4 linked regions of the Callithrix jacchus genome follow. The main gene of each other region encodes a partner of the protein of the gene in region 3 in a complex. Links are inferred from orthologs where the notes say so. Each region holds a gene or a part of one and is shown on either strand. Other genes may lie near its edges.

Region 1 (5,770 bases), on a different chromosome or scaffold from region 3:
TTATTATGATTAATTTTTAGGCTTATGTACACAAGAGTGTAATGGAAGAACTGAAGAGAATTATTGATGACAGTGAAATTACAAAAGAAGATGATGCTTTGTGGCCTCCCCCTGACAGGGTTGGCCGTCAGGTTTGTATTTAGTGATCCTTTAAGTGCATAAATATTAAAAAATGATAATACTGTTATGCTTTCCCTTGTTTATTTTAAATGAGTCTAAGTTGATTCTCTGGCTTTCCGTTCAGTAGGCACCTGGTAAATTCTCTTTATCTCTCTTAGTTCCGTTTTCTGTCCTATCTCCGGTAGTAAAGGAGTTGGTGCATAGTTCTAAATTTAGACATCTTTCTCTGTAGTTACCGCAGCCAATGTTGGGATGTTTTCACAGTGCAGTGTTAGGAAATTTCTGTTGTGTGTTAATCACTTTTATTAAGAATATGATTATGTAAAATTTACTTTTGCCAAATCATAACTTTCAAAATTCCTGTTTGCATCCCTATACCCCAGAGAGAGACTTGATTGGTGGTTTCTTTATTACAGCTGATGATTGCATTTGCCTCTCCTATTCCTTCAGAATAACTGATGTTTCTCAAAATGCTTCTGAAGAACTCTGAAGGCCTAATTTCATTCTGTAGAAAGAAAGTTTGGTTTCTGAATTGGGTCTTTTCAACTCTTGGAGAAATGAGATACAACCCCTGGAAGGAAGAAACATTTAATTTCACTCTTGTATATTCCTGAGGATTGTACTTTCTATCACCTTCTTTGACTAGAAGAAAATGTGGAGAAAGATAACAGATGCTGACATTCTGTAGGAGTAACTTAACTCTTCTGTTTAAAGAAACATTATTTAGGAAAGCAAAGGTAATAGTTAACAGTATTTATTCTAAGCATTGCATCACTTTTAAAAAGTAAATTTAGGCCTCAGTTTGTTTTATGCACATATACATGTGTACTAAAAAGCAGACCACAGCAGCTAACCTTTTATATCATTTAGACTCAGGGAGAGCCTAGTATTTTATCTACTCGCTTAAGGATGTTTTCCTGGGTTTTGGTTAGCAGGAAGGAGTAGGCATGCTTCAGAAATTGCCTTTTGTATCAAGTCAAAGGTTCTATGGCTGTTAGAGCATCTTAGTTTTCTCCATTTGGCCTGTGTCATTAAACTGGATAAATGGGTCTTCTGGTTAAATAAATAGCTAGAACTGCCTTCAATGGTGTCTGTTAACTTGAAAATTCATTACAGATAGAGTCTCTTCGTTATTGGTTTTAGGCCTACAGATAATAGAGAGAAAAATCTCTACAGTAATTACAGCACACTAGGAACATCTACATCATGTTGTATTTGTTTTACTAGTTCTTAATTTTAGTTATTTTACGGAGTATTGGTTTTAAATCTTACAATCTTGAGATCAAATATAAGTACTGTCACTTATTAGTGGTTATTAAATACAAGCAAGTATTTTCCTCTGCTTTATGAGTTTTGGATTACACATTTGTAAAATAGGTTAATAAGGTTATTTTCAAGATTGTAGAGAGTGTGAAGTCCCTCGTACTAGGACCTGACATACAGTAGGTGCTAAAGTGGTGTTGGTTATTACTGTTATACATCTTATTTGTAGAATCTTCCAGACAGGAAACGTGTATTTATCATATTAAAAATGGCCTCGGGGTGAAACCCCGTCTCTACTAAAAATACAAAAAATTAGCTGGGCATGGTGGCGCGTGCCTGTAATCCCAGCTACGCAGGAGGCTAAGGCAGGAGAATTGCCTGAACCCAGGAGGCGGAGGTGGCGGTGAGCTGAGATTGCGCCATTGCACTCCAGCCTGGGTAACAAGAGTGAAACTCCGTCTCAAAAAAAAAAGATATAGTTTGTATCTAATAAACCAAGGTTTTGTTTTTTTTTTTCTCATCTCCCTTCATTGACTGCTAGAAAACTTACAACTAGAATTGGGACCCATTTGTAGCAAGAATACAGATATCTCTGGGATAGATTTTTGCATTAAGTACATTTTTGTGCTGTTTTTTTTTAGGAGCTTGAAATTGTCATTGGAGATGAGCACATATCTTTTACCACATCAAAAATAGGTTCTCTTATTGATGTGAACCAGTCAAAGTAAGTATGTGGAAGCATGTTGGCTCAGGTGTCATATTAGAAAGGCTCAGTTTAGAACTACAGTTTGTTAGCCAAGATCATTTCAGAGGCATTACAGTGAATTGATAAACCTATCAGTTTATTATGCAGATGTAATTCTGATTTTTATATCATTAAAGGCTTATTATCTTGTCTCTCAGTAGAAGTTAGCAGAGTATTTCATTGATTGTCCAAAAAATTTTAATCCAACAGCTGTATATAATAATGCCCAAATTGTATTAGCCATTTTGTATAAAAATGTGGATATAGTATTAGAAAATCCAAAGAAAAGAAATCCTCTTTAGAGCCATATCATCTCACTTTCCTCCTTGGACTCAATACTTGGGGAAAAAAAAAATGGAAAAAATCCAGTATAGCCTGAATATCCTTTAGCTACCAATGTCTTCCCAAGATCTGTCTCTTTTCCATCCCGGGTTTTGTGGCACATCCCACTTTCTTGGTCTTCTTTCTGCCCATTCCCCTCAGCGTGTCCCTACAGTACTCTTATTTTTTTCTCTTACACTAAATTGTAATAATCCTGGTTTGAATGTAAGCTCCATGAGAACCTTGCTGTACCCTCAAAGTTAGCATAGTGTCCTGCATGTAATAGATGCTTTTGATAAATATTTATTAAAGGAAAGGAGAAAGGAATGAATGCATAATAACTATTGGACACAAAAGTCTGTGTTCACAAAGACCAACCAGATGCTTTTAAACTATCAAATTTATTCTCCTACATTTGGTGAGGATGTGGCGTTGATACCCTACTGGGATTATAAACTGTAGTGGTTTTTGGAAAGCAGTTTGATAATATGCATCAAAAACTGTTAACATTTTTCATTCATCTTTGGCCTAGTAATTCATTTTTCAGCATCTCTTCTATGGAACTGTTCCTAAATATTGGAAAAGCTTTATTATGCATGAAGATGCTCATTGAAGTATTATTTATAATAGGAAAATAATCCCAGTGTCTAATAAGGAGAGAATTATTAAATTAATTAAAAATTATTAGTGAGTTCTTTTGAGTGCTGTGGGGAAAGTAATTAAAAAATGGCACAGGAAATGATTGTAGTTACTAACGAATGGAGAATATCAATGTTTATAGTTATTCTATGAAAATGGTGGCATTACAGTATTTCTTTCTGCTCTATTAGACATTTTTATGATGTGGTTATTACATTCATAAGAAGATTAAACTCTTTAAATACTAAAATGAATACTGATGAAGAAATTTTTTTCTTATAGAAAAGATATTTTCATTGTATGTTCATTTTAGTTGTTAGCAAAATCCTTCCTTTCTCCTAAATTGTGTTAACTTGTTAGAAGATTTTGATTTTGTTTTGTTTTAGGAATTTAAGGAATTGTTTTATCCTAGGAACAAAAAGTAACTTTTACCTTTTTAAATTTTAGGGATCCTGAAGGCCTTCGAGTATTTTATTATTTGGTACAAGACTTGAAATGTTTAGTTTTCAGTCTCATTGGATTACACTTCAAGATTAAACCAATTTAAATTCCATGTTTTTCAAGCTGTTTGTATATTTAATTAAGGGATGAAGGGTTTATTTGTCATTTACAATATTGGGGTTTTTATGAATGTGAAGCAAAAAAAAAATTTGTATGTAAACTGAAAATAAGAAAATACATTAACAGGCTTAATGGTCATCCTAACTTGAGTCCACGTGGTTTGGACAGTCCCCACACACATTAAGTTCTGTAAATAAAAGCCACCTTTTGTTAAAAATTTGCTCTAATAAAACATGCCAAATCCTGGTTGCAGAGTATTTTTTTGTTTGTTTGTTTTTTTCCAGGAGGCCATGTCTCTAATTTACTTTAAAGATAATAAGAAATTGTTCTGGTAGGTATATCCTGTGATAGAAGATACTTTAGGTGGAAATATGTAGCCAGATTCTCATCCACTAAAAGCAACTGTAGGTATTTCCTCCATTCGTGATTGAATTTAATTTTGGGGGCTTATGGAAGGTCTGGGTCTTTTGCAGTTATCACAAACCCCTCAGGGATTATTCACATTTAAATATTTTCGGTTATAAGCAGTGATGTGCTAAAGTGTTACAAGAGTAAATTCCACCCCATGTTAGGCATATCTTTGATTTTGCCCAGTGGTTGAGGGAGAACTAAATAAGTTTTCAGCTTTATATATTGTTAAATGTTTAGACAAACACATGTATGTAGGAATGTACATAAATATTTTTAACTCCTATTGAACACAGGTCTCTCTTAAGTTTCCCTGTTCTTTCCAACCTCTTTCTGATGGTAACCATGTCCCTTGTTTCCTTTATTCTTCCATCTGAACCCCCACTCTTTAAACATTATGATGTTCTGGTAGTTATGATCCACTTGCCCCAGGAAGAAGTTAGCACTAACTTTTGGGCGGAATAATTAGTTAATTAGGAAATAGAAAATTAGAAAATAATTAGGAAATCTCGCCAGGACTCCTGAGCTAGGCTCTAGAGTCGGGCTGTCTGGTAACTTTTTTTGCAATAATGGAAGTGCAATCCAATAGGATAGCCACTGGCCAAATAGGGTTACCGATTACTTGAGGTATGTGCCTCATATAACTGAATCTATGGTGCTCTTTAAAAAATTTTTTTTCTAATGTGAAAAGGATAAAACATAAAACTCTTGAGATTTATAAAGTGAATACCTATATGCCAACCTAGATTGTATACTTAACATCTTTTTTACTGTAATATGTCTATTATAAATCATCTTGGTTTTTCCCTTAACTAGTGTAATTGGTGCTAGTAAACTACATTTTTTGTAGTGATACTTAGTTTTGATTAAATTTAGTGGCTACCCATTGGACAGTATAGGTCTAGAGCATGGTTTGGTAACCTTCTTGCCATGGAGCACTAGATGGCAAGTTTTGAGCATTTCATTGCTCAGAATGACCCACTGTTTCACATTTGCCATGGAAAGCAACAGAGTTCTACTTCATGGTGCAAGTACACCATCTTCAGGTCTTGTATGTAAAATATTTCTGTTTCAGTTGTAGACCTTGATAATTGTGCAATACAAAATTGTATAATATTCTTGCATTTGGTGTCAGCCTCAAGAAGAAAGAAGAGCAATTGCCTTTTGAACTTCCAGGGGGCCCATAGTTTTTGGTTGTGCCTCAAAATAACCTTCATTCTGTGACTCCTGTTGAGTAAGAGGATTCATTCAAAACTGAACAAGGTTGAGGAGAAATAGCGCTTACATTAAAATCTTTAACGCTTTGTCCCCATGCTCTGACTTACTTATATATTGATTATTTTGCTCTGTCCCCAGTATCTACTAGGATTTCTCGTATTTAAACCCAGTGGGAGACTAGGCCATTAGAAAAATATTATTGACCACAACTTTCTTATACTTTGATCTGTCTTTTATGCTGATGGACAGTGATCATTAGAAACTGAATTTTTTGTAGTACTAGTTTTATATGAAACTAGATTTTTATTGCACTCAGGTTATGTTCCTTTTACCTCCTTTCTTTTTTTTTTTTTTTTTTTTTTGAGACAGAGTTTCGCTCTTGTTACCCAGGCTGGAGTGCAATGGCGCTATCTCAGCTCACCGCAACCTCCACCTCCTGGGTTCAGGCAATTCTCCTGCCTCAGCCTCCTGAGTAGCTGGGATTACAGGCATGCG
Region 2 (6,009 bases), on a different chromosome or scaffold from region 3:
GCAATACCATATATTGTTCAGGACTAGTATCTGTACAACCTTTAAGCAATGGGTTGAAGGGATACCTGCTAAATTCATCATTGTAGTTACTTCATCATTGCAGTAGGAAGAGGAACTTGACTGGGAACCAAGAAGACTTAATTGTATCGGTAATATTTTGTCTCTTTCAGTTAAAAAAAGGTTTAAAGCCTTGAAGGACAAATATTAACTGAATTCAGTTAATATTTGGTTAAGGTGATATAAGAATTTTTTTTTTTTTTCTTGAGATAGAGTTTTACTCATCACCCAGGCTGGAGTGCAATGGCGCAATCTCGGCTCTCCGCAGCCTTCACCTCCTGGGTTCAAGTGATTCTCCTGCCTCAGCCTCCCGAGTAGCTGGGATTACAGGCATGCACCACTACGCTTGGCTAATTTTTGTGTTTTTAGTAGAGACGGGGCTTTACCATGTTGGTCAGGCTGGTCTCAAACTCCTGACTTCAGGTGATTCACAGGCCTCGGCCTCCCAAAGTGCTGGGATTACAGGTGTGAGCCACTGCACCAGCCAAGAATACTTTTCTACACTAAAAACTTTCTTTGCTTCAGAAAACAAAACAAAAAAAGACTCTTTTATAACCTGAAGTCCTATCAATTCTTTAAATGACTTTAGAATGACTGACTTTTGGTGTCTACTACCAACTTGCCTCATTGCCCCAAGGAGGTGCACTGGAGTCAGGAACCCTGATCTCTCATTGCAGGTCTTAACTTGCCCCTTAGTTTTTGAAGTAGAGTGTGGTGGAAAAAGCACTGGTCCAGGGGTCAGGACACTTGGGACCTTGTCTTAAGCTGGCCTGCTTTTAGGAGAGTGAGTTTAGGCTAATCACTTCCCTGCAAATGAGGCTTTGTAGGCCTAGTTCCTTTCAGCAGGTGCAATCTTTCCTACCAGTACTTTTCCTAAAGAAGCCACGTAATTTACCAGAAAGGAAAAGTTGTCCACAGGTCTACCTGCTGAACAAATTTCCACACTGCCTGGGCAACTTACAGTCCTGAATGGCTGTTGGTATTGTGATTTTAAAATGGATTAATGTAAAACTTTTCTGAGACCAGGCATTTTATCTTGTGTCACGTATGAAAACAAAGTATTTTCCCCCACACTGAAATACCTACTAATATAGATGTATCTATAAAAGGTTATTTTAAAAACTCCAACCACCATACTATTTCATACCTAAATCAAACCAGTGTTAAATTTCCTTAATGGTATTAATTTTACTTTTTTTTCTTTCTGAGATGGAGTCTCACTGTCGCCCAGGCTGGAGTGCAGTGGTGCAATCTGGGCTCACTGCAGCTTCTGCCTCTCAGGTTCAAATGATTCTCCTGCCTCACCTCTCTGAGTAGCTGGGACTACAGGCGCACGCCACCACGCCTAGCTAATTTTTGTATTTTTAGTAGAGATGTGGTTTCACCATGTTAGCCAGGCAAGTCTCAAACTCCTGACTTCAGGTGATCCACCCACCTTGGCCTCCCAAGGTGCTGGGATTACAGGTGTGAGCCACCACATCTGGCCTAATTTTACATTTTTTTTGAATCATTATCCAAATAGGGTCCAAATATTGTGTTATGTGTCTCTTAAGTCTCCTTTTTAAGTTCCCACTCCATTTCTGTTTCCCTTGTAATTTACTGAAGAAACTAGGTCATTTGTCTTGGAATTTCCTCTCAATATGGCTGACTGAAATCCTACTGTATTTTTAAAACATGTTTCTATATTCTCTTATTTCCTTTAAAATGATAGTTATATCTAGAGAGTTGATTAGACTTTATGTTTGGGCACTACCTCACATAGGACGTTAGTGTTTTACAAAGTAATTAAGAAGACTTCACATGTTCAGGTCTTTATAAAGTAATAAAAATTGGATTTTATCACATTTATTAAAGACAGTCATTTATAGTTTATAAAAAAAAATACCACCCTGATATACAAAAAATTTTCTTGAAAACGCTAATTAAAAACTACTCCCACCCGCCCATGTCCACACCAATATTCAATCTAGATTGGTTTGATCTTGAAGTGTAATCCAATAAGACTGAAGACCAAACACTTCAGGTCCTGGACAAGATAATAAAATACTCGTAAGCCTTCTGGATCCCTAAAATGCAAAAGGAAAAAAAAAGTTTAAAACACTGAGGTAAAATGGGCAAAAGATACCATTTAATAATCTCAATTATTCCTCTATCAAAATGTTCCTTGTAAAGATATTTAGGGCATTAAAACTTTGACCAAAAAAGGAAAAGACTATATATTAAAATGGCATATTATGAAATAATTTAAATATACTGAGTTTTTAAAATAGGAAAATGCTTACATTAAGTGAAAAAAATTAACATTGATCTCGACTATATTTTTTATGCTTCTTAAAAAGTATATATTCTATTAATGCACAGAAAAAAAGACTAAAAAGAAATACTGCAAGATATTAATAAAGGTTGTCTGATAAGATAATGGATGGTTTTCACCCTTCTACTTTTCTACATTTCCTGTGTTTTCTACAATGAGCATGTATTACTTCCAGAGTTAGGAAAACTTTTTTAAAAAGTAGTAATACTAAGCAGGACCAAGAGGTTGAAGATTACTGTGGCATCACTAGCTAAGAACAAAGAGTATCCAAAGGGAAGAACAAGGAGAGTGTGCAAAGGAAGACAATTATGCCCAACATTTGCTAAAAGTGAGCCATATCTAATCCTGAATCCCCAAAACATAAGAGCCAAAGAAGTTGCCAAATTCTAAAGATTCTTCGTAGCACATAGGTTCATGCCTCAACTTAATAATCTGCCCCACTGACAACACAAATTTTAAAATTTGATCCATTTTCACCAAAATTATTTGTAAAAATTAATAAATTTAAAATCAAATAAAATTTAGATCCTAAAAATTGTCAAGTTTCATCAAAGTCAGATTTTAAGATGTGCCAGTCTGAACAGTCACACTGTGAAGGCTATTCAGACTTGGTGACTCTGGTTTATCATGAGCACTTTTCTAGCATATTCCATTTTTGTCCTGGCTGCTCCTGTGCATTAATTTGTATGTATGCGTCAACAAGAAGCTCTCAATAGCAATGACTAAATGAAATACCAAAAGTAATAGGAGCAAGTCTTCAAAAATAATTTGAGATCCCTCCCTAACAAGGAGGACAAAGCTGCCCACCTGTACCAGATCTTCCCATAGTGATCCCAATTTGGTTAAGAGTTTCTTATCAATCTGCTCCAAAACAGACACAATTGGAGATAAGGATAATGCACTTACTTGGATTGATTGACATCAATAAGGGAACCAATTTTTGATGTTGTAAAAGAAATGTGTTCATCTCCAATAACGATTTCAAGCTCCTGGAAGCATTTTAGAAAATCTAAGTCAAGTAAAATTGGATTATTCATCAAGCACACAGAAGGATTAATCATTTGCCAAATCACACAAACTTGACTACAGATGGCCATAAAAACAAGGGCGGTTCACTCTGAACACTGAACTGTGCTGGGGACTAGAAACAAGACATAAATAAAGCTCATATTTAGAAGAAATTGTACCCTCAAGGCTCTACTATTTCTGGAATTTGAAAAAAAAATCTATGAAGCTTTTTTTTTTCTTCCCCCCCCGAGGCGGAGTCTCATTCTCTCGCCCAGGCTGAAGTGCAGTGGTATGATCTTGGGTCACTGCAACCTCTGCTTCCAGGGTTCAAGTGATTCTCCTGCCTCAGCCTCCCAAGTGGCTGGGACTACAGGTGCCCACCACCACCCTGTCTCTATTAAAAATTTTTTGTATTTTTAATAGAGACAGGGTTTCGCCATATTGGCCAGGCCGGTCTTGAACTCCTGACCTCAGGTGATCTGCCTGCCTCAGCCTCCCAACTGCTGGGATTACAGGCATGAGACACTATGCCCAGCCTATGTAGTATTTTGTCTAAGTTTTCATTGTCAACAATGTGGAGTAAAATGGATACATCTATGTTTTAAAAATACCAAACAATTGGACTGGGTGTGGTGGCTCACACCTGTAATCCCAGCAGTTTAGGAGGCCAATGCAGAAGAATCACTTGCGCCCAGGAGTTTAAGACCAGTATGGGCAACTTGGCAAAACCTCATCTTTACAAAAAATATAGAAATTAGCTGGGTGTGGTGGCATGCACCCATGGTCCCTGCTACTAGAGAGGCTGAGGTGGAAGGATCCTTCAGCCCAGGAGGTCAAGGCAGCAGTCAGCCGTGATCTCATCACTGTACCCCAGCCTGGGCAACAGAGTGTGACCCTGTCTCCAACAACAACAAACAAAAACAAGTACCAGAGGATCTAACCTATCAAGGCAACATGGGAAAAGGAAGTATTCCAGACCTTAGGTTTGATCCCCACTTCGTCACTCCATATCTGTATGACTTTGGGTCTTAATTTCTAAACAGTGACATGAGTACTGTAAACCTTCAAAAAATACTATGTAGAGCCTACTGGGTGCTAGGTGTTGTTCTCAGAGCTTAGGACAGATAAGTAAAACCAACCAAACCAAAGATCTCTGCCCTGTGGAACTTACAGTCTTGTGAGCCCTACTTACTTTTTCTTCTTTTAGATTCATATATATTTTTGTTATAATTCAATCAGAAAATAGAAAAAACCTGAGATCAATGTTTCCAATATCCATATTTATAAATTACTGCCATACATGTGTCAGCTTTTTTTTTTTAAAGAAATAAAATATTACAAAGTTGATATCCATCTCCCATTGTGTTCTTCCTGTATCCCCTGATTTGTTCCACTCATTTCAGATTTGGTAGTATGTTTTTACTGATTTGTTTTTACATACAGGGTCTCACTCTTTCACCAAAGCTGAAGTGCAGTGGTAGGATCATAGCTCACCGTAACTCTGAGGCTCAAGCTATCCTGTAGCCTTAGCCTCCCGAATGGCTGGGACTACAGGTACACGCCACCACACCTGTTAATTTTTAGGGTTTTGGTAGAAAAAAGATCTCACTGTGCTGCTCTATTTCTGTTTGTATCTCCACTATGATTTGTCCATAGTAGTTAGTGAGACAGGCAGCAAAAGCTTCAAGTGGAGGAGTGGGTGTGGGGGGGTCCTAAGAAGAAATTCAAGGTGGGTTCTTGGTGGCCAGCAGCACCACTTGTTCTCTCTGTTCCTCCCTATGGGATTAGTGCTTCCTTAGACCATGGTGCTGGCAATCTGCTTTCTGCAGAGCTGACCACCACACACCCACACACCCACACCCACACACACACAGTTTCACTATCATATGCAGAGCACTAAACATCTTATTTGTAAGATTTCTGCACTACAGGATAATAAAACACACGCACACACACACACACAAAATTTCACTATCATATGCAGAGCAATAAACCTCATCTTATTTGTAAGATTTCTGCACTACAGGATAATCAATAAAACATACCTGCCGGCCCACTCGGTCAGGAGGAGGCCACAACGCATCATCCTCTTTGGTAATTTCACTGTCATCAATTATTCTCTTCAGTTCCTCCATCACACTTTTATGTACATAAGCCTGAAAGTAAGTTAAAAAACAAAATATATGTTGTATCCTTAAGCAGTGCTTTGAATCAGATAGTGATGGAAGATAAAAATAACTGTTCCTGCAGACTTATTTCTGGCATCTCCTGAAGTTGGAAGACATTCACTCTCAACCTCAGCATGGTGCAGGTGAGGGACAGGGTCAAAAGTATCAAATAACTGTACCTCATTCCCCCATCTAGCTGGTTCTACTCCTGGTACATCCTGTTCACATGGCCCTTCTCCTGCCCACATAGCCAACTCACAACAGAACCCAAAACAGATCCGTGAATGCCCCCTACTGTGGTTTAAATGTTTGTGTCTCCTACAAAATTCGTGTTGAAATTAATCCCCAAGGCAACAGTGTTAAGAGATAGGGCCTTTAGGAGGTGATCATACCTTGAGGGCAGAGTCCTTATGGACAGGATTAGTGCCTTGGGAGAGACCTGAAGGGAACTAGCTGGCCCCT
Region 3 (6,169 bases):
ACATATCATTTCTGATTTGTCAGCAGTTTAACATTTTCATGAACATTTGTTCTGTGTTTTTCCTTTTAGGATGACCTTTCCTAGATAGTGTGTCAGGTAGCATAAGCCCCGCCCCCTTCTGCCAGCTCCTCCCCAAGGCACCGTTGCTGCCCCCTCCACTATAACACCACGTGCTTATTCGTCTACAATCATTCTTACTGACAGTGGAGGCCTTCTGTCCTCCCGGGTGCCTGTGTGGAAACCTGGGCCACTCCTCCCCTATAACAGAAGCCTGGCAGCAGCTCCTGATGAGACCCGGCGAGCCTCAGTGAGCTCACACACCTACAGATATGGACACTGGGGCTGGCACCAGTCAGTGCTGTGGTGGGTGTCACTCCCTGCTGCCGTTGGGCAAAGGCCCTGAACACACTTGTACCTGGTTCTACCTTGCCAGGAACTCACCGAGCCACCTCTGGGCCTCCAGTCTTCTACTCCTCTTGCTTGGCCAGCAGTGCCAGCTGGGAGCCTTGTTAACAGCAGGTTCTCAGTCAGCAGGCCAGGGCAGGGCCTGAGCACCTGCATTTCTTTTTTTTTTTCTTTAGACGGAGTCTTGCTCTGTCACCCAGACTGGAGTGCAGTGGCGCAATCTCGGCTCACTGCAACAACCTCTGCCTCCTGGGTTCAAGCAATTCTTCTGCCTGGGTAGTAGCTGGGACCACAGGTGCGTGCCACCACACCCGGCTAATTTTTATATTTTTAGTAGAGACGAGGTTTCACCATGTTGGCCAGGATGGTCTCAATCTCTTGACCTTGTGATCCGCCAGCCTCAGGCTCCCAAAGTGCTGGGATTACAGGCGTGAACCACAGCGCCCGGACTTTTTTTTTTGAGGTGGAGTTTCGCTCGTTACCCAGGCTGGAGTGCAATGGCGCGATCTCGGCTCACCACAACCTCCGCCTCCTGGGTTCAGGCACTTCTCCTGCCTCAGCCTCCTGAGTAGCTGGGATTACAGGCACGAGCCACCATGCCCAGCTAATTTTGTGTATTTTTAGTAGAGATGGGGTTTCACCATGTTGACCAGGATGGTCTCAATCTCCTGACCTCGTGATCCGCCAGCCTTGGCCTCCCAAAGTGCTGGGATTACAGGCGTGAGCCACCGTGCCTGGCCTATTTTGTTTTAAGAGACAGAGTCTCGATCTGTCTCCCAGGCTGGAGTGCAGTGCCTCGATCTCGGCTCACTGCAACCTCTGCCTCCTAAGTAGCTGGGATTACAGGTGCCCGCCACCATGCCCGGCTAATTTTTTGTGTGTTTTTAGTAGAGATGAGGTTTCACCATCTTGGCCAGGATCCACTCACCTTTGCCTCCCAAAGTGCTGAGATTACAGGAGTGAGCCACCATGCCCAGCCGAGCATCTCCATTTCTAACCAGCTCCTGGTAATGCAGTTGGTCTACCAGCCACAGAAAGGAAGCTTCAGTTAAAGGAAGTTCCATGCATCAACTATGCAATTTCAGATGCCTTCAAGTAAAATCAACCTGATGAAATTTAAAAACATTTCCAAGCTCACCCTAACCCTGAAATAGATTCTCATTCCAACCAATTTCGGGAAGGGAGGGGCCAGTTAGTTTTAAAATTTCCATTTCAAATTATTAGAGCCGGGATGTTGGCTCATGCGTGTTATCCCAGCACTCTGCAAGGCTGAGGCAGGACGACTGCTTGAAGTCAGGAGTTTAAGACCATAAGACCAGTCTGGTCAACAGAGGGAGACCCTGTCTCTAAAAACATTTTAAAAATTAATAATCAGGCAGGTGTGGTGCTGTGTGCCTGTAAAGCTACAGATGATTACTTTAAATATTTGAGCAGATAACTTAAATACTTTAATAATGTAAATATTTAAAGAGACAATTATGTTTTAGTTTGTTAACACTGTGGTGAGTGATGATCCCGCCCCTATACTCCTGCCTGGGTGAGTGAGTGAGATCCTGGCTCTCAAAAAAAAAAAAATTAGAAAAATGAGGTCTGGCACGGTGGCTCACACCTGTGATACCAGCACTTTGTAAGGCCAAGATGGAAGAAGCAATCGCTTAAACCCATGAGTGACCGACCAACCTAGGCGGCACAGTGAGACCCTGTCTCTACCAAAAATTTAAACCTTAGCCAGGTGTGCTGGCAGACACCTGTTAGTCCCAGCTACTCAGGAGGCTGAGGTGAGAGGATCGCTTGAGCCCAGGAGGCTGCAGCTGCTGTGAGTTGCGATGGCGCCACCGCACTTCAGCCCGGCGCCAGAGCAAAACCCATCAACACTGAAACTCTCCCAAAGAAAAAAACAGATTAGAAAAGTGAGTGAAATGGCCCAAGACCATAGAGTAAGTTACTAGAAAAGCTGGTGGCATCTTAGAAATACAAATCAGAGTTTATGGGAAAAGTTTTATATTTTTAATGAAAAAGACTTAGAACGATGTATTATTTACATGTAAATAAGAAAAGAGAGCAGAATCCCCATATCTTCTTCGGAGGAAGGGAGAGGGCAGACCATTTATGAGAAGAGAGTTCACATCAACCCCACTCAACAGAAGCTGGACCTAAATGCTTTCAAACAGGAATACACAGCAGGTGAGCAGTCTCCACTCATCCTCACAGATCAGCGGCTTCAGATCAGATCAGCGGCTTCAGATCAGATCAGCAACTGAAAGTGAAGATACAGATAAGGAACAATACAAACAAAATGAAAACTCCTAACGTCAATTTAGCTAAAACTTCACAACAGACTTCTCAAAACAAAAGACAGGCCAGGCATAGTGGCTCCTGCCTGTAATCCCAAACACATTAGGAGGCCGAGGAAGGCAGATAGATCACTTGAGGCCAGGAGTTCAAAACCAGCCTGGCCAACATGATGAAACCCTGTCTCTAAAAATACAAAAATTAGCTGGCTGTGGTGGCCAGCGCCTGTAATCCTAGCTGCTAAAAATGCTGAAGTGGGAGAATCACTTGAAACCAAGAGGCAGAGGTTGCAGTGAGCTGAGATAGCGCCATTGCACTCCAGCCTGGGTGACAGTGTGAAACTCCAATTCAAACAAACCAACTCAAGGGCTACAAACTGAAAGTAGGCAGGTTCCCTCTGTAGTTACAATTACGGTAACGCTGAACGACTTCCTACCGTTCATAGGCATCTCATCGATCTGAGTGGAATAGTACTGCTCGATGTCTCTGAGGATGCGAATGTCGTCATTCTTCACAAAGTTAATGGCCACACCCTTCCGGCCATACCGACCTGATCTCCCAATTCTTCAAGAATCGAACAATATTACAGTTAGTATATATAGCAATAAAGATGCAGTAAATGTGTCAACAGAAGTGAAGCCAATGAAAACTTGCACCCCTACCTGTGTATATACAATTCTCTGTTATTGGGCAGATCGTAGTTAATGATGAGAGACACCTGAGGGACATCCAACCCCCTGGCCCAGACGTCTGTAGAAATGAGCACTCGGCTGCAAAAAAGAAAGACTGTTTAAGGCGATCAAATTACTCATGAAAGTGTAAGACTGGCCTTGCTTCCACTGCTCATTTTAAGAAGCCTGGCTACAAATCCAGAATGTATGAGGTCACCCCTCATACCAGTCTGCAAACATGAAGCCTCAGGGACAGCACCAGAAACCCCTGTGCAGAGAGGCTGTTGCTGCATCTAGTTACTTCGGACATGTGCTCCATGAGATAAAAAAAAGACATCTTTTACTATACTACCTTTTTAACTTATTTACTTGGTCCTAAACCAGGATTTGGGAAAAATATTTTACTTCTGCCTAGCAAAAAATTAAGAACAGTAAGTTCGGTTAGGCATGGTGGCTCATGCCTGTAACCCCAGCACTTTGGGAGGCCAACGCAGGCAGATCAGCTGAGGTCAGCAGTTCAAAACGAGCCTGGCCAACATGGTGAAACCCCGTCTCTACTAAAAGTACAAAAAAAAATTAGCCATTTCAGGCTACTCGGCAGGCTGAGGCATGGGAATCACATTAAACCAGGAGGCAGAGGCTATAGTGAACCAAGATTGTGCCAATGTTCCCCAGCCTGGGTACACACAGCACATTTCTTCAGCTGACCACAAGGTGGGCCGAGAAGGAAGTCTGAATCAAATTCTGATGACTGAAACCACACAATCCACGCTATCTGACCACTAAGGAATTCAACTAATCAGAAAAATGAACACAAAACCACTCCTTATTTGGAAGAGAAGACACGCCCTTGTAACCAAGGTGACCAACCTGGCTGGTTAAGGCTAGTTACCAGATCACCCTCAGTATTACAGGAGCAGAGCAGACCACCCCGTTAGCGGGAAGGCATTCTGCTGACCCAGGGCCTCGGCTCTGGAGCAGGCACATCATCTCCCCAGGCCTGGGCCCTGCCCGGAAGCAGTGCACATAAACTGCCTGCCATACAATCCAGCAAACCCTGAGCAGCAGAGCCGCAGAGCACAGCTGACCGACCTGGCGCCTGACCGGAACTCCTTCATGATGGACTCCCGCTCTTTCTGGGGCATGTCTCCATGCATCGAGGACACGGTGAAGTTGGCTTCTCTCATTTTCTCCGTCAGCCAGTCCACCTACAAATGCCAAACCACAGATGTGCATTCAGGATTTTACCTCCACCATCTGCTGAACCAGTGTCAATATTCATAGGTAACTGCTCCTAAAACTCAGAATCATCTTAACTGGATGTGCAAAAAACACCTTTCCCCAGAAAATGTTCGGGTGCCCCTACAAAACCCTCTTCATTTTCTCCACATGATGATTCTATGGGGCAAGGGGCCAGGTCTGCTCATTCTCATTTGAAATTTAAGTTTAAATTCCAATCTTGTTAGAATGTAGCCCAACTCCTTTCCTTTCTCAGGAGAGTGGCCGAGAGTTCTCAGGTCTGCCTCCAAATGAGCATCACCTAGGGATCTGAAACCACTCAGGCCTGGGTTCCACCTTAAACCAACAAAATCTGCGTCTTTCAGGTGGCTGACGTTGTCGTCGTTCTGTAAATAAAGTTTGAATGGTCACAGCCACGTCTGACCGTTTGCATACTGTCTACAGCTGCTTTCCCAAGAGACCACGTATCCTGGAAGCTTAAAATATGGACAAACTGGCCCTTTACTGAAAAAGCTTGATCTAAGTCATTAAGAGACTCAGTCTTCAATTTCCCTTCAAGCACCTGGAGGCAGTATAATGCGTCTTACCTTCCTTTTGGTGTTGCAGAAGATGACCGCCTGAGTGATGGTCAGTGTGTCATAAAGGTCACACAGAGTATCAAATTTCCACTCTTCTCTCTCCACTGCCACGAAAAACTGCTTGATGCCTTCCAGAGTCAATTCATCACTGAAGGACAAAGACAAATCCTGTCACACACTAGGACTGAGGGCAGGCCAGGCTCTAGGGAGACCCCGGTGGAGAAGGTCACACCCTGATACCTGGCGCAGACCCAGCCCTGTCCCCCATCCTGCCTCCATTCTATGCCCTACTCAACATTTCACAATGTGCACCACGTGAAATGATTCTAACTAAAACATGATAAGTAAATACCATCACCCAATGTTTAAATTTGGGATTACTGGTTCAAAGCAGAATGAGTATTATAAAAACTGGTTTTCTGTTTGGTTTTGTTTGAGACAGGGTCTGTTGCCTTGGCTGAAGTGCAGTGGCACGATCACAGCTCACTGTAGCCTCAACCTCCTGGCCTCAATTGATCCTCCCACCTCAGCCTTCTGAGTAGCTTCGACTACAGGCGTGAACCACCAGACCTGGCTAACTTTTTATTATTTGTAGAGATGGCGTCTCCCTATACTGCCCAAGATAGTATTTGGTTTTTCAAAACACAAATTTTAAAAGAACTTGCATGCTTTAAATTCCTTTACCTCCGGCAGTGTGGCCTGAGGCCCAGATTTTGATACAAGCCTCAGCAATACAGCAAGACCCTGGCTACAAAAGGTTTTTGAAATTATGACATAAAACTCTTTATACATGCGGGCCAGTGTTTAGTAACACTTGACACAAGGGGCGCCTACCGTTTCACCAAGATGCGGATTGGGTCGGTCATGAACTTGTTTGTCATCTCCAGAATCTCGTGTGGCAGCGTGGCACTGATGAGCACCACCTGTGTGGCTGGAGGCAGGTACCTGTACACGTCGTAAATCTGCTCTTTGAAACCTGGGACA
Region 4 (6,781 bases), about 64 Mb from region 3:
AAATTGCCATGTTAACAATCGTTTCTACCACAACCCTGCCCAATACATTTGCTAAACAAACAAATGGCAAATTTCAGGACTCCTTTAAGCCTCCTGAGATATCCCATGATTCTTACTTAAAGCATTAGAGGCCAGGCTTAGTGGCTCACCACCATTTTGGGAAGCTGAGGCAGACCAATCACCTGTCAGGAGTTCAAGACCACCCTGACCAACATGGTGAAACCCCATCTCTACTAAAACACAAAGATTAGTCAGGTGTGGTGGTGCATGCCTGTAGTCCCAGCTACTCATGCGGCCATGGCAAGAGAATCGCTTGAACCCAGGAGGTGGAGGTTGCAGTGAGCCAAGATCGCGCCACTGCACTCCAGCCTGGGTAACAGACTGGGATTCCGTCTCAAAAAAAAGGGGGGCAACGGGGCTGGACGCCGCGAGTACCCCCCGCCCCGGCTCTGCCGGTTTCTACGTGGAGCCACTTTTCCTTCCGCCGGGGCCGGGGCCGCGGGGCCTCATGGAAGGCCTGGAGGGCGGCGGACTGGGACGGCCTGCGCCCGAAGCCAGAGCGCAATTCTGAGTGTCGAGGTTCATCATGGAAGCAGGTGTCAAGCTGGGGATGCGGTTCATTCCCATTGCCACTGCTTGCACCATTTACCATAAGTTCTTCTGTGAGACCAACCTGGATACCTATGACCCTTACTTGATCGCTATGTCTTCCATTTACTTGGCTGGCAAAGTGGAAGAGCAGCATCTGCGGACTTGTGATATCATCAATGTGTCCAACAGGTACTTTAACCCAAGCAGTGAGTCCCTGGAGTTGGACTCCTGCTTCTGGGAGCTCCGAGACAGCATTGTGCAGTGCGAGCTTCTCATGCTGAGAGTTTTGCGCTTCCAGGTCTCCTTCCAGCAACCACACAAGTACCTGCTCCACTACCTGGTTTCCCTCAAGAAGTGGCTGAACCGCCACAGCTGGCAGCGGACTCCTGTTGCCGTCACTGCCTGGGCCCTGCTGCGGGACAGCTACCATGGGGGGCTGTGCCTCCGCTTCCAGGCCCAGCACATAGCTGTGGCAGTGCTCTACCTGGCCCTACAGGTCTATGGAGTTGAGGTACCTGCTGAGGTCGAGGCTGAGAAGCCATGGTGGCAGGTATTTAGTACCTTACCAAGCCAATCATTGATAATATTGTGTTTGATCTCATTCAGATTTATGCCATGGACACAGAGATCCCCTAAGGCCCTGGCCCAGGCCTGCCCAAAGAGAAGCTCAGGATGGTCAGCTGCCTGGGGACACTGCCACCACGTCGACATGATGGCTGGTCCCCAGAGAACCAGCTAGGAGGACTGGTTATGCTGCTGGAGAAGGGCTGGTGAAGGCGATGACATACTGCCACTTTGACAGTACCTAGAAGTCGCGGTCCAGATGATGATGGGAGCCGCGCCTCCATCGGGCAGGCCAGGAGCACACTGTGTGCAGCTGACCCAAGGCAGACACATCTGCTTTTGTCCTTTGAGAGGACTCTGACTACAATAGAGGCATGACGTCAATGAAATAGATGAGACTGAATCCCTAGGGATTTTTTAAAAACCAGATTTATAGCGAGAGTGAATGTGCAACAAGGATGAAATTTATTTTGTGTAATAAAATGTGATACTAATCGACAGAAAAAAAAAGGAATTAATTAGGTGATTTTGTTTGTTAATCAAGTAAATGTGAGCATTAGTTTTAAGAATAATATTCACAGCAAGTTGTGCACTTACTTTTATATGATGTTAAGATTTAAAATATTCAGAAACTCAGATTAACTGGAACCCCTGCTTACAACCTGAAATAATAAAGTTGGAATTTGTTATCAGGTCATACCAAAGAGACCATTTTCCATAGAAACACACCCAGAAAAGAAGGGAAATCCTCTGGGGAGAAGGAAAGCCCACTGATGGAGCATGTGCAATAGGTATGGGAAGGAGCTCTCATACCTCAGGTGGAGGGGGCTTGATGGTGACTGGCTGGGGAGTCCTCCGGGGTGGGGAGGGCTTTGGTTGCACCTGCTGCTGGGCGGGGTTATAGTAGGTCACTCCTCCATATACCTGCGATGGGGCCTGGCACCCGATAAACCAGGAGAAGAAAAAGTTAGGAATGAGTTCATCCAATCTATGATAAATAGGAAATATTATTCAGCCACAAAAGAGTATTGGGTTATTTATAATTTTTTAAATATCTAAAATCTGCCCACCCTTCAAAATAAAGTGACTATTCATTTCTGCCTTAATTCATCATTATTATGCTCTTGTTTCTCCTTCTTCAAAGTACTACCCAGATTTCTCTAATTTCTACCACCAGCTGACAAATGGAAAAGGCTGAGTTCAGTGGTGACACTTCAGATGCTGGATTATGTCAACATGGTGGAAGTTAAGCAGGACAAGGGTAGGGGTAATAAAGAGTACAATACAGCTTCTTTATGTAACAGAATAAAAAGCAGATATTGCCGCCTATGACGTACCACAACACAGGAAAGAAACACCATTAGAGAAACTGAAGGCTGGGTGCAGTAGCCCATGCCTGTAATCCCAGCACTTTGGAAGGCCAAGGCAGGTGGATCGCTTGAGGTCAGCAGTTTGAGACCAGCCTGGCCAACATGGTGAAACCCTGTCTCTACTAGAAATACAAAAATTAGCTCGGCGTGGAGGCAGGCGCTGTAATCCCAGCTACTCGGGAGGCTGAGGCAGGAGAATCGCTTGAACCCAAGAGGTGGAGGTTGCAGTGGGCTGAGATCACACCACTGTACTCCAGCCTGGGTGACAGAAAAAAAACTGAAAAGAATAAAGATGATGGGCATTACATAAGCTGCATTTCCAGTTCCTGACCACTAAGAGGCGTCCTGGTGCCACATAAAAATCAGTGGCATTGAAATGTTTTCTCAAATTCCTTTAGGATTCTCCCCATACCACATTCCTGTCTGAATTAAAGGATGTGTAGCTAGAAAAACATGCTCATTAACCATCTCACCTGCGTATTAGGATATAGATGAGGCGGCGGTGGGGGAGGCAGTGCCCCTGGAGCATAAGGGTAACTGGGATTACCAAAGATAACGCCTGGAGCAGAAAAGTAAGTAGGAGCAAGCAACTGCTGAGGTGGTGGCTGTCCAGGAGACATGGACACTGGTGGGGGATAGAGACCCGGATTGGGCAGAGGCGCTGGTGTCTGGTGGGGATGTAAACCTGGATAAGGAGAAGAAAACAAAAATTGAAAAAGAAAGTAACACCATTTTCATAGGATGGCCTGGCTGGACTGCTCAGCATAATGAGGCTCAGGATGGAAGTCCTCAGGATGGACACAAGAGGAATTTGTTGCCCAAGGATGGCCACACTCACAGGCTAGCAGCACAGAGCTGAGGAGGATGGGGTTTGTGGCACTCCTAACATACATCCTCAGGTACCGGAGGTATACAAGCACAGGTACAAAGCTTACCTGGGTGGGGAAGGTGCATTTCTGGCTGCACAAGCATGCCCTGTGGAGGCAGCGGGGCAGGGCTGTCACCATGGGTATAGATTGGTCCCTGGAACTGTGCTGTAAGATATCACATTGGGACTCTCATAAACCCTTACTCTTCACATCACATGGACAAGTCACCTTGTCCCCCAAACCCTTTAAAAGATGTTCTCAATATTGCATGTGAGGAAAAGAGCAATCAGACAATGTTTGATAAACACTGAGAGGTCAGAAGAGAAATTCAGGAGCCAGGAGCCTGGTGTCTTAGTTCACTTCACCCTGCCAAGAAAAGTACCCCAACAAGAAAAAACTCACGTGGATCATAGTAATGTCCCTCCACGATACTGATATGCACTGGAGGGGCAGGGGGCTCTGGCACAGGTCTTTGCCGCTGGGATGAATAGCGTTTGGCTCGACCACCCTGGACACCCTGAGACAAAGAAAGAGGCCTGAACAAGAATTCTAGAGGGCTCTCATATCAAGTCCTACCTTCCTTTAGCTGCTGCAAAACACTTGGTATGTGTGGTACATGGCAGGTGTTTAATAGGTATTTGCAAAGTGAGTTGAAAAATAATCAATGAAAGACATCAAGATTTGAGATCCAAATTAAAAGAAACATGGATAATCAATGGGAAAGCTGACTTTTGGATCTTACCTTGTTTTTGTTTTTTTGTTTGAGACGGAGTTTCGCTGTTGTTACCCAGGCTGGAGTGCAATGGCACAATCTCGGCTCACCGTAACCTCCGCCTCCTGGGTTCAAGCAATTCTCCTGCCTCAGCGAGTAACTGGGACTACAGGTGCGCACCACCATACCCAGCTAATTTCTGTATTTTTAGTAGAGACGAGGTTTCATCTTGTTGACCAGAATGGTCTCAATCTCTTGACCTCGTGAACCACCCGCCTCGGCCTCCCAAAGTGCTGGGATTATAGGCGTGAGCCACCGCACCCAGCCCTTATCTTGTTTTAAACAATGAACAAGCTATGTAAAGCAGCCTCCTCCCCCATCGACCCCTTTCCCCTCCTGTACCATTTCTTCCATCCGGTTAAACTGAGGTGGAGGTCCTGCTCCCATGTGTATATGGTTGGCCATACCTGTAATACACGGAAAAAGTCACTTCTGCAGGTCAGACATATGTGAGTGGGACTTAAAGATACCATTAAGAAAATGACAGGTTTTTCATTTGTTTTTTTTTTTTTTTTGAGAAAGAGTCTCACTCTGTCGCCAGGCTGAAGTGCAGTGCTGCGATCTCAGCTCACTGCAATCTCTGCTTCCTGGGTTCAAGCGACTCTCCTGCCTCAGTCTGCCGAGTAGCTGGGATTACAGGCATGTGTCACCACGTCTGGCTATTTTTTGTATTTTTAGTAGAGACGATTTTGCCATGTTGACCGGGATGGTCTTCATCTCTTGATCTCGTGATCTGCCTGCCAAAGTGCTGGGATTACAGGTGTGAGCCACAACACCCGGCTGAAAATGACAGGTTTAAGTGTCCACATGGGAAATGGCTTTCTTCTTTTAACTAATAAAATTCTCTATAAATTATCTCTGCTGTCAACATCAGCATTTAGAAATTTGTCCCCACTGTCTGCCATCTTAATATAGTAATAAAGCCTTTGAACATGAAAAATGACTTCAGTGAAGAAAATCAAGTTCAAATTTTTCCTATCAAATTGTTCTCTGCATCTGGGAGATTATAATTAGCACATTACATTATCTGACATATTGAAAAATCTCAGCTCAAGAGTTTCTGAGCAACAGCTGGACAAGGGAGGGATGCTTTGTAAATCTACTTGTTATACCCCATTCACAGAGCTGTTGTAGGTTGGAAGCTTGAGAGAAGATTCTCCTCTGGCTAGCTAAAATGACTCAAGAACAAAAGGAATGTTTCTAGAGATTGTCTTCCAATGGTGAGAAGTGTGCTGCAACTCCAAATGAGGAGTTCCAGTATTTAAGTTAGATTTCAGACTAACAAAAGATCCTTCAATCTGTCTGGCTAGAAGAAGACAAACTACAATAGGCAAAATGGGCAACAGTTGGGCCTACTCTCTAAAACTATGCTGCCCAGTATGACACCAACAAGCCAAATGTGGTCAGTTAAGTTTCAATTAATTAAAATTAAAAGTTCAATTCCAGCTGGGTGCAGTGGCTCATGCTTGTAATCCCAGCACTTTGGGTGGCAGAAGTAGGAGGATGCTTGAGCCCAGGAATTCAAGACCAGCCTGGGAAACACAGTGAGACCTTGTTTCCCCAAAAAGTAAAAAAAACTTAGCCAGGTGATCCTAGCTACTGAGGAGGCTGAGATGGGAGGATTGCTTGAGCCCTGGAGGCAGAGGTTGCAGTGAACCAAGGTCACGCTACTGTACTTCAGATTCCAGCCTAGGTGACAAAGTGGGACCCCATCTTAAAAAAAAAAAAATCTGTATCTCTATATATAAATAATAAGAACAATAACAACACAAAAGTACAATCACTACAGAAAGTTCTACTGGATGATCTGTCTCTAGAAGATTAAGGAAATTAGGGAGGCTTACCTTTCAAAGATACTAGAGAAGATCTTGATCAAAATTCAACTGAATAAATTTCTCCCTTCAAACATTTACCATTAGTGCAAATAATAACGTTGACTACTACCCTTTTTTTACAGAGAGTAGAAAAGGATCCTGTACTCAGGAGGCTCAATGACAACTGGGCAGGTGCAGTATCTTTTACCTGTAATGCCAGCGCTTTGGGAGGATCACTTGAGCCCAGGAGTGCAAGATCAACATAGTGTGACCCTCATCACTACAAAATTTTTTTTTTTTAAATTAGCCACACTTTGGGAGGTTGAGGCAGACAGATCACAAGGTCAAGAGATCGAGACCATCCTGGCCAACATGGTGAAACCCCATCTCTACTAAAAATACAAAAAAAATTAGCTGGGTATGGTGGTACGTGCCTATAGTCCCAGTTACTCGGGAGGCTGCGGCAGGAGAATTGCTTGAAACCGGAAAATGGAAGCAGCAGTGAGCCGGGATCACGCCACTGCACTCCGCCTGGAGATAGAGCAAAACTCCATCTCAAAAAAAAAAAAATTAGTCGGGGCTGGGCACAGTGGCTCACACCTGTAATCCCAGCACTTTGGGAGACTGAGGTGGGGAGATCATGAGGTCAAGAAATTGAGACCAGCCTGGCCAACATGGTAAAACCCCATCTCGACAAAAAATACAAAAATTAGTTGGATGTGATGGCACACCCTGTCAGCAGCGCAGATAAGATCTGAATGGTATGTTTTCTACGCCCCCCCACCCCGCCCCAGGGGATAA

What was found.
Region 1: EIF4A3 (region 3) and MAGOHB share a complex: the UniProt entries of both Homo sapiens proteins name them as parts of the mRNA splicing-dependent exon junction complex. The link is inferred for Callithrix jacchus from reciprocal best matches to the Homo sapiens genes EIF4A3 and MAGOHB.
Region 2: EIF4A3 (region 3) and MAGOH share a complex: the UniProt entries of both Homo sapiens proteins name them as parts of the ALYREF/THOC4-EJC-RNA complex. The link is inferred for Callithrix jacchus from reciprocal best matches to the Homo sapiens genes EIF4A3 and MAGOH.
Region 4: the proteins of EIF4A3 (region 3) and CASC3 are in contact, whole or in part, in a crystal structure (PDB 2J0U), measured with the Homo sapiens proteins. The link is inferred for Callithrix jacchus from reciprocal best matches to the Homo sapiens genes EIF4A3 and CASC3. Residues at the interface, in NP_055555.1 of Homo sapiens: Thr178, Arg179, Lys198, Ile201, Tyr202, Tyr205, Arg206, Tyr207, Leu208, Pro209, Pro210, Thr212, Lys231, Phe232; in NP_031385.2 of Homo sapiens: Arg217, Trp218, Glu219, His220, Asp221, Lys222, Phe223, Glu225.

Annotation. Positions count from the first base shown.
Region 1 is NC_133510.1:12,492,644-12,498,413, forward strand, and holds the end of MAGOHB (protein mago nashi homolog 2), read left to right. Parts: intron 1-20; coding exon 21-131; intron 132-2,024; coding exon 2,025-2,107; intron 2,108-3,535; coding exon 3,536-3,635; 3' UTR 3,636-3,904; downstream 3,905-5,770. UniProt on the Homo sapiens protein: Required for pre-mRNA splicing as component of the spliceosome. Plays a redundant role with MAGOH in the exon junction complex and in the nonsense-mediated decay (NMD) pathway.
Region 2 is NC_133508.1:90,371,514-90,377,522, forward strand, and holds the end of MAGOH (protein mago nashi homolog), read right to left. Parts: intron 5,536-6,009; coding exon 5,425-5,535; intron 3,361-5,424; coding exon 3,278-3,360; intron 2,124-3,277; coding exon 2,024-2,123; 3' UTR 1,867-2,023; downstream 1-1,866. UniProt on the Homo sapiens protein: Required for pre-mRNA splicing as component of the spliceosome. Plays a redundant role with MAGOHB as core component of the exon junction complex (EJC) and in the nonsense-mediated decay (NMD) pathway.
Region 3 is NC_133506.1:135,875,604-135,881,772, forward strand, and holds the end of EIF4A3 (eukaryotic initiation factor 4A-III), read right to left. Parts: intron 6,162-6,169; coding exon 6,020-6,161; intron 5,334-6,019; coding exon 5,195-5,333; intron 4,577-5,194; coding exon 4,461-4,576; intron 3,468-4,460; coding exon 3,360-3,467; intron 3,262-3,359; coding exon 3,134-3,261; intron 2,663-3,133; coding exon 2,646-2,662; 3' UTR 2,390-2,645; downstream 1-2,389. UniProt on the Homo sapiens protein: ATP-dependent RNA helicase. Involved in pre-mRNA splicing as component of the spliceosome. Core component of the splicing-dependent multiprotein exon junction complex (EJC) deposited at splice junctions on mRNAs.
Region 4 is NC_133506.1:71,776,237-71,783,017, reverse strand, and holds part of CASC3 (protein CASC3), read right to left. Parts: intron 4,574-6,781; coding exon 4,509-4,573; intron 3,912-4,508; coding exon 3,797-3,911; intron 3,560-3,796; coding exon 3,461-3,559; intron 3,211-3,460; coding exon 2,999-3,210; intron 2,092-2,998; coding exon 1,969-2,091; intron 1,818-1,968; coding exon 1,794-1,817; 3' UTR 1,753-1,793; intron 1,376-1,752; exon of another isoform or gene 572-1,375; intron 1-571. UniProt on the Homo sapiens protein: Required for pre-mRNA splicing as component of the spliceosome. Core component of the splicing-dependent multiprotein exon junction complex (EJC) deposited at splice junctions on mRNAs.